2 linked regions of the Coturnix japonica genome follow. Each later gene encodes a partner of the first gene's protein in a complex. Links are inferred from orthologs where the notes say so. Each region holds a gene or a part of one and is shown in the gene's direction. Other genes may lie near its edges.

What was found. The genes of interacting proteins can lie anywhere in the genome.
Region 2: TRAPPC9 (region 1) and TRAPPC11 share a complex: the UniProt entries of both Homo sapiens proteins name them as parts of the multisubunit TRAPP (transport protein particle) complex. The link is inferred for Coturnix japonica from reciprocal best matches to the Homo sapiens genes TRAPPC9 and TRAPPC11.

Annotation. Positions count from the first base shown.
Region 1 is NC_029517.1:131,104,086-131,107,739, reverse strand, and holds part of TRAPPC9 (trafficking protein particle complex subunit 9), read left to right. Parts: intron 1-2,768; coding exon 2,769-2,985; intron 2,986-3,654. UniProt on the Homo sapiens protein: Functions as an activator of NF-kappa-B through increased phosphorylation of the IKK complex. May function in neuronal cells differentiation. May play a role in vesicular transport from endoplasmic reticulum to Golgi.
Region 2 is NC_029519.1:35,209,324-35,212,977, reverse strand, and holds part of TRAPPC11 (trafficking protein particle complex subunit 11), read left to right. Parts: intron 1-1,596; coding exon 1,597-1,696; intron 1,697-2,434; coding exon 2,435-2,508; intron 2,509-2,735; coding exon 2,736-2,832; intron 2,833-3,605; coding exon 3,606-3,654. UniProt on the Homo sapiens protein: Involved in endoplasmic reticulum to Golgi apparatus trafficking at a very early stage.

The DNA of each region.
Region 1 (3,654 bases):
GAGATTATAAAAGTTTACTTTAATGTAGTTAGGAATAATCAAAAATCGTATAACAAGCTTCTCTCTTGAAATCTTACCTTAAATCAAGCCTGATAAAAAGCTTTCTCATTTTACTTGGATGGTGAACTACAGCCTTCACAGTTGTGGTTGCTGACTTGGTTTGTTGTAACAAGTAAATGAAAATTAATCATCTGGAAAAGCTGCTCTGCTTTAGGTGTTGGCTATTTTGCATCCCCGAAATAATGAGTTGGTGTATCTGTGTGGGATTGTTTTCTTGTTTCTTTTAAGCCCTTGAGTGGTGACACTGACCTATTTGTGCTGAGGGAAAACACCATTTTGGTGCCTCTGTTGTGACAATGAAGCGTAGCATCCCGCAACTGCAAAAAATAAACGTGAGTAGCTCTGAGCGACAAATAGTGTCAGTGCAGAGAACTTACTCAAACAGGGTAAAAATAAAAACTTGAAGAGAATCTGTTGCCTCTCAGCTGTTTCCAATTAGTGTGCTTTCACATCCATCTGTAAAGCTATCATGGCCTTTTATCAGGGAGTGTGAAGACATGACAAGGAATAATGGCTTTTAAGCTACAAACCAGTAGGTATCACTTAGATATCAGTAGTTCTACTCTGTGAGTGTGGTGATGTGCTTCCCCGAGGAGCTGTGTGTGCCCCAACCCTGCAGATGCTCAGGGCATTGGACAGGGCTTGTGGATACCTGTTCTAGTGGAAGATGTCCTTATTTTCTTTCCAGCTGCATTTTCAGCTCGCCACAATTGCCTTTTTACAGCTGCTGTTACAGGATTGCTCTGTCCTATGGTTGTGCTGTGGTTTTGTACTGTGCAGTCTGTGCTGTAGGGTAGTAGCAACTTCAGCTTCAGAACTTGTCTGTAGCTTGCCAGAATTATTTGCTAGTCCGTCTGTGTCTCTGAATCTTTTGATCTACCAGGGTTGGTGCTGTCAGATAAGGTCATGGTGCTCTCCGAAAGCTGTTTTGACCATATTTTGTGTCAAATCCCTGACACAAAAATTAGTAGTGACTTTTGAATACAGTTTTCTCATGATTTTGTAATGATGTCAGCATTTCTGTGACTAAAAAATGTTTTGCAGCTTTATAATACATTATTATTACTGTAAAAGTTATTGGTATATCTATAACCTTTTGACTTTCAGAGCCTGAAAGTGCCTGGAGTTATTGGAACCGGCTGCCCAGGGAAGTGGTGGAGCCACTGTCCATGGAGGTTCTCAAGAAGCATGTAGATGTGGCAGTGATGGACATGGTTTATTGAGCATGGTGGTGATAGATTGATGGCTGGACTGGGTGAACTTAAGTGGTCTTTTCCAACCTGTATGGTTCTATGTCGTTAAACACAGAATTCAGATTGATGCTTTCCATTTTGAAGAATGATTCTGGTTTGTGTCCACCAGTGATATTTTCTATGAACTTCGTCCTCGTAAATGCCCGCGAAGCTGCTAACATTATTTTGCAGAGTAACTCTTAGTAATATATGGTATTGCTTTTCTTTGTGCATGCTCGGTATCGTACACTAGGTGTCACCATTGATCCATTTTGAGAACTCACTTCACTTGTCACTGGGATCGTAGAATCATAGAATGGCCTGGATTGAAAAGGACCACAATGAACATCCAGTTTCAACCCCCCTGCTTTGTGCAGGGTCACCAACCAGCAGACCAGGCTGCCCAGAGCCACATCCAGCCTGGCCTTGAATGCCTCCAGGGATGGGGCATCCACAACCTCTTTGGTGTTATAGAGATAGAGGAGTTGGTAGCTTTGAGTCTTATTGCAGAGAAGTTTCTTCTTGGCTGCCTGATTTCTAAGCAAGATTCTCATTCATAATGGGGAAGGAGCAATTGCGTGGGCCTTGTGCAGATATATTGGCAAGCTACAGTAGTGTATATTGTCAGTGGCTTACCAAGTTTGGTTGTACTTGAAACCTAATGGGGATTAACCTTTCACTGAATTCTGCCCCATTTGTTGACAGTTTGAATATTTTGTGATTTGTGGGACTCATAAATACTGAGAGTTTAGGTTTGCTTTCAAAGTGGTGATAACATTTAATTTGATAAATCAGTAGATTTTGGAAGTGGTGTATTTTTATGTTTGTATAGTGCACCTGTATATCATGCTAATTATCACCCATAAAACATGAAAGTCTGTAGCAATTTGTAGCTGTTCTGACTTACACTTCACAGTACTGATAACTAACTAAATTGTTCAGAAAAAGCATCTTTGCAGTTCTTGTTAGCTCTTCACAGAATCACCAAGGTTGGAAAAGACCTACAAGATCATCCAGTCCAACCATCCACCCATCACCAACAGTTCTCACTAAACCATGTCCTTCAACACAATGTCCAAACATTCCTTGAACACCTCCAGGGTCGGTGACTCCACCACCACCCTGGGCAGCCCATTCCACGGCCTGACCACTCTTTCAGAGAAGTATTGTTTCCTAACATCCACTATAACTACCCTTCAGGTAGTTATAGAGTTATAGAGTAATAAGGTCTCCCCTGGGCCTCCTCTTCTCCATTCCCAGCTCCTTCAGCTGCTCCTCAGAAGGATTTCAGCAGCAAGCTGAAGATTTCCTGGCAGGGGTTGGCATGACTGGCTGTGTGCAAACATGCAAACATGGCCTTCTGTGGTGGAGATGCCTATTACATTTTTTCTTTCTTTTTTTTTCCTGTTACTCAGATACATGCTTGAAAATTGTCTTTAAAAAACAGTTTCATTTTCTTTTCCCTTTCAATTTCAGCTCTCAGAAGAAGAAAAAATCCAGCGTTACAGCATTCTTTCAGAGCTGTATGAACGAATTGGTTTTCACCGCAAGTCTGCTTTCTTCAAGCGTATCGCAGCAATGCAGTGTGCTGCACCCAGCATACCAGAGCCTGGCTGGAGGGCCTGCTACAAATTGCTTTTGGAAACACTCCCTGGTTATAGCTTATCATTGGATCCTAAAGATTTCAGCAAAGGTAAATGTCTCTGGGGGAGCATGTATTTGCTTACGGTGTCACTCAGCTGGCTTTATATAACTAACTTCCTTGTGAAGTGTCAAATAAAACCCCAATCCTTTACCTATCTGAAATTAATTGTGGCAGAGTAGCTCTTCAAAACGGCACCTTTGCTTTTTGCTGGTGTTGCTACCGATAGTTTGGAATTTCTGAGAGCTGCTGCTGGAGGTATTGCTGTGTTCCTGTGTTTGTAGCAAATGTGTTTTATTAATGAGAGCTTCTCTTCTGCTGTTTCAGAATGTGATTTTGTGCTTGTCAGTACAAAAAAGGTCATGTTTTATTTCGAAATATTTTTTTAATTATGTGCTTTCAACTTTGTGTTTCAGAAATTGTATTCATTTCAGTATGGCTTATAATCAAAGAATGAAGGATTCTTTTATATTTTTATTCATAGACACACTCAAACAAATCTAGATGTAATTACGTGTGTGTGTGTGGTTGCATTTGTATCTGTAAGGTCATGTTTCTCCACAGATTAAATCAATGTGATATAATCTGTAAGACTGGCTTTTAAATATTTAAACAATTTTAGGTGCTATTTATCTTTTGAATTGCTTTTTTTTTTTCCTTTTGCATATATTAAAAAATAAAGAAAAACCACAATAACAATCCAACAAAGCAAAACCAGCT
Region 2 (3,654 bases), on another chromosome or scaffold:
AATGGAGATGGTGAAAGTTGATAGGTTGAGATGATGGCTGTCTGGCACGCTTGTTGTAGAGCAGCAGTGAATGTTTCATCTGTTCACTGGAATTCTTTCTGTTATTCTCTGACCCGATGAATCCCCAGATTCTCCCCTTTCTAAGTAAGGCTGAGTTATGATGTTGGAGATGTTGCTCTGTGGGCTTCCAAAGGAATATTGTTAAGTATCCCAAGATGTTCCCTTCTTCGTGTCAGATAAAGGGAAAGCAGACTAATCTACTTCTTTCATGGCTTTGTTAGTGCTCATTCTAAACGTTTTTTCCCCACAGATGTTTTGTTAGGTGTAACTCTTATTAGCGAACATTTGCACTTTTTTTTCTCTTTGCCACCTCCACTTCCTGCCAGTAAAGCTATCTATTTCTATTTGTATTAAGTAGTATTTCTTTGGGTGGAAATACTGTCTTTGTCATTGTTATTACATTCATCATGCTTTTTATTTTATTGTATTCAGATAAATTATCAAGGCTTTTCAAATAACAGAGCAGGGAAGAGTCTAAAAACACAAGCTCAAGCTAAGGCAATTCATAACTGTCTCCAGCTTTTTGAAGGCAGGGCTACATTGTTAAGGATTAACAGTTCTTTATAAACATTAAAGAAACAAACAGTGGACTACATATTCATGTACAGAGTTTCTGATTCTAGTTGTATTGACATTTAAATTGATGTTTTTGTCTGAACTTATAGTTGTTGTTCAGTGCTCCCTTCCATTGTTTCCATCCACATCCTCTGTTGTGTGGCAAATAGAACTTGAGTTGTGATCTCCTTTAGCCTGTAGTCATCCCTCCTTAGCGAAATCACAGGTCTGGTACTTCATCCCTTATTCTCTCTGTGTTGCTCTGCTACTGAATGTATTTATCTCCTGTTCTCTGACCTTCTCTTGCTCTGGTTGATTTTACTCCTTGTCCTGATTGTGCAGCATATACCTCTTACATCCTCATTCGCTTTGTACTGTATTCAGTGCTCTGGGCCTTTTTGTCTCTCCTTTCCCTGTGACTTGTCATTAGGCTCTTATCTTGTGGACACAAGCTTGACCATCACTTTTATAATCCAGGTAGCTTTTGTTCTTTGGATAGAATGAGGAAACCTAGTGTACTTTCATTATCTTCTTACACTTTACAGCCTTTTGCCTTCCTTCCTTTCCTCTTTCCCCCATCTAGCCCAGACAAGAAAGGTTCTGACCTATTAAGACTTACCTCAGGAACCTCTGCAAGGTTTGCTTGCTTTGACTGACTCATCTCCGTTTTCTACTGCCTTGTAAAATCCTGACAACTTTTCAATTGAATTTCTTACCTTAAATATTAGAGACTGTTGTAATCAGTACATAAGGATCTCAAAGCTACTTTGTTTCGTGCTACATCTCCGTGAGGTTTTGTGTGAAGAGTTTTTGTCTGCGTGTACTTACAGTGTGTGGTAACTTTCAGAAGACTGTAGTAATATTTCAAGCACTTTTGCCGACCGTAACATAAGCATGTTTTAAAGTAACTTACTTAGAAGTTATTCAGATCCCTTCTATGTGAGAGAAACTTAGTGAAACTTATGGGCAACTTTGTTGCAGGTTGGAAAACGCATTCTATGAGCATGCGCAGACTTATTATTATACAGAAATACGAAGAGTCAAATCTCATAAGGAATTCTTGAACAAAACCACTCACCAGGTAATGTTTACTCCATTTTTGCAATATCGTTCAAGTTGAATTGCATGTTGAAAGAGGAAAATAAGGGCTGTTTGTTGCTTAAACATTTTTATTCCACTCCTTGCTGCCATCCAACTTAAGAGTCCTTCTGTCTTGGTGTAGAAAGTTAATTTGCTTTTGTTTTCTGCAAGCTAAACTTTGATTTTGATTGGTTCTGCTGCAGTTTTTATCTACCTCACATTTTAAAGGAGAAACTATAGCCCAAGAATGAAGTTCTCCTATTTCAAAAGAACAAACAATTATCTATATGATTTAACCAATTTGAATGTAGTATCTTATCAAGCTGTGGGAAATTCTGTCATTACCAGCTTCATACTTGATCTGATGTTTAGCTTTTGCTTTTTAATTTGTCAGATATTTACTTAGGTACACGACTGCTGTTAGGTTTGCTAGTCTCCCTCTTTCTATTTTGGAAACCGGGGTCCAACAGTCATGCTCTGAAGCAACATGCAGAAATTCTTGTGTTACTGAGCTTCTCCCCTTTTCCAGAGTGAGAAGCTTAATGTAGATTCAGTCTGTTGGAAGACTGATTACTACTGTGTCATGGAGTCACAGAGAACTAGGAAATAATTGCACAGTCAGCCTTTGAAGTCAATGGCTCTATTCTGTAAACTTCTGAAACTATTAACTGTATCTGCTTCATAGTTAAAAGACATGTTCAGATGATTGTGAATGATATGTGCTGGTTGTGTTTTGCAGCTTCTATTTGTTAGACACCAGTTCAAAATAGCATTCTTCAGTGAGCTGAAGCAGGATACACAAAATGCTCTCAAGTAAGACTTGTATTATCTTCCCACATCCTCTCAACCCCAAATTATCAGTCTATTGCTTAGCGTTAGATTTTTTTTCTCAAATACAAAATTAGTTAAATGTATAAGTAAGTAATACCTTCTTAATTGGGAAGGACACTCCAATTAGACTGTTTACTGCTGTAAGTAATCATGTTCTTGAATTGTATTATCTTGTATGAATTAACTCTAATTTAAGTATTTATACTTAGAAATTACAGGACTGCATATAATCTTGTACATGAATTAAGGGCTCATGAAACAAACATGCTGGAAATCAAGACCATGGCAGGATTTATAAACTACAAGGTAACAAGCATTCTTCTTAACTTTGACAGCCTGTACTTCAAATAAGTATATAATTTAATTAGTTAGTGCATCTTTAATGTTTAATCCTTTTAGTGTTCTGTTTTGGTTTCTTGTTTGTTTTGCTAAGGAGATAGTTTAGAAACAGCCATCAATGCGATACCAGTTACACTCAGGCTTGTGAAGACTGAATTCCACACAAAAAGATCCTTAGCAGAAGATAAGGAGTGTCTTGAAGATTTGCAGTTAATTTTAGGTGCAGTCATTTTGAAGACTAAACTGCTTTGACTCTCTGTGCAGGGGGAATGAAAATAAGTAACTCTTGTTTCTTGAGTGTTTTTGTTATAAACTTAAACTGTGGTAGTTTAGTTACTCCTTGTTTGGAGGAGGAAGATAGCCCTTTAAAGCAATCCTTTAAGAATCAGTTCATACTTTGTTGACATTCTGGGGGGTTTTAGGTGAGGTGGTACTGTTATACCATTTAAAATAATCCTGAGGATGGACTCCAAGTTTCATCATCCTTCTTGAAATGACTACAGGCTTCAAAGTTAATGTTCTTTCTAGTGGCTCCATTCAGCTCCACCCTGAATTGGCTGAATTTTCTTTCATTGATTATGTGAGGGAGGAGGGAATAAAAATAACATTAGATGTATTGGAGAGCCACATGGTTTCAGGTTTCATTTTACATCTGTTTTTCTTCCTCTGTTTCCCATCCTATTTGTACTCTTGAGAAATACGATAAATTAGTATAGTTTGTGTTTTTTGGTTTCTTCTAGATCTGTCGTCTGTGTTTTCAACACAATACTCCACTGGATGCAATTGCTC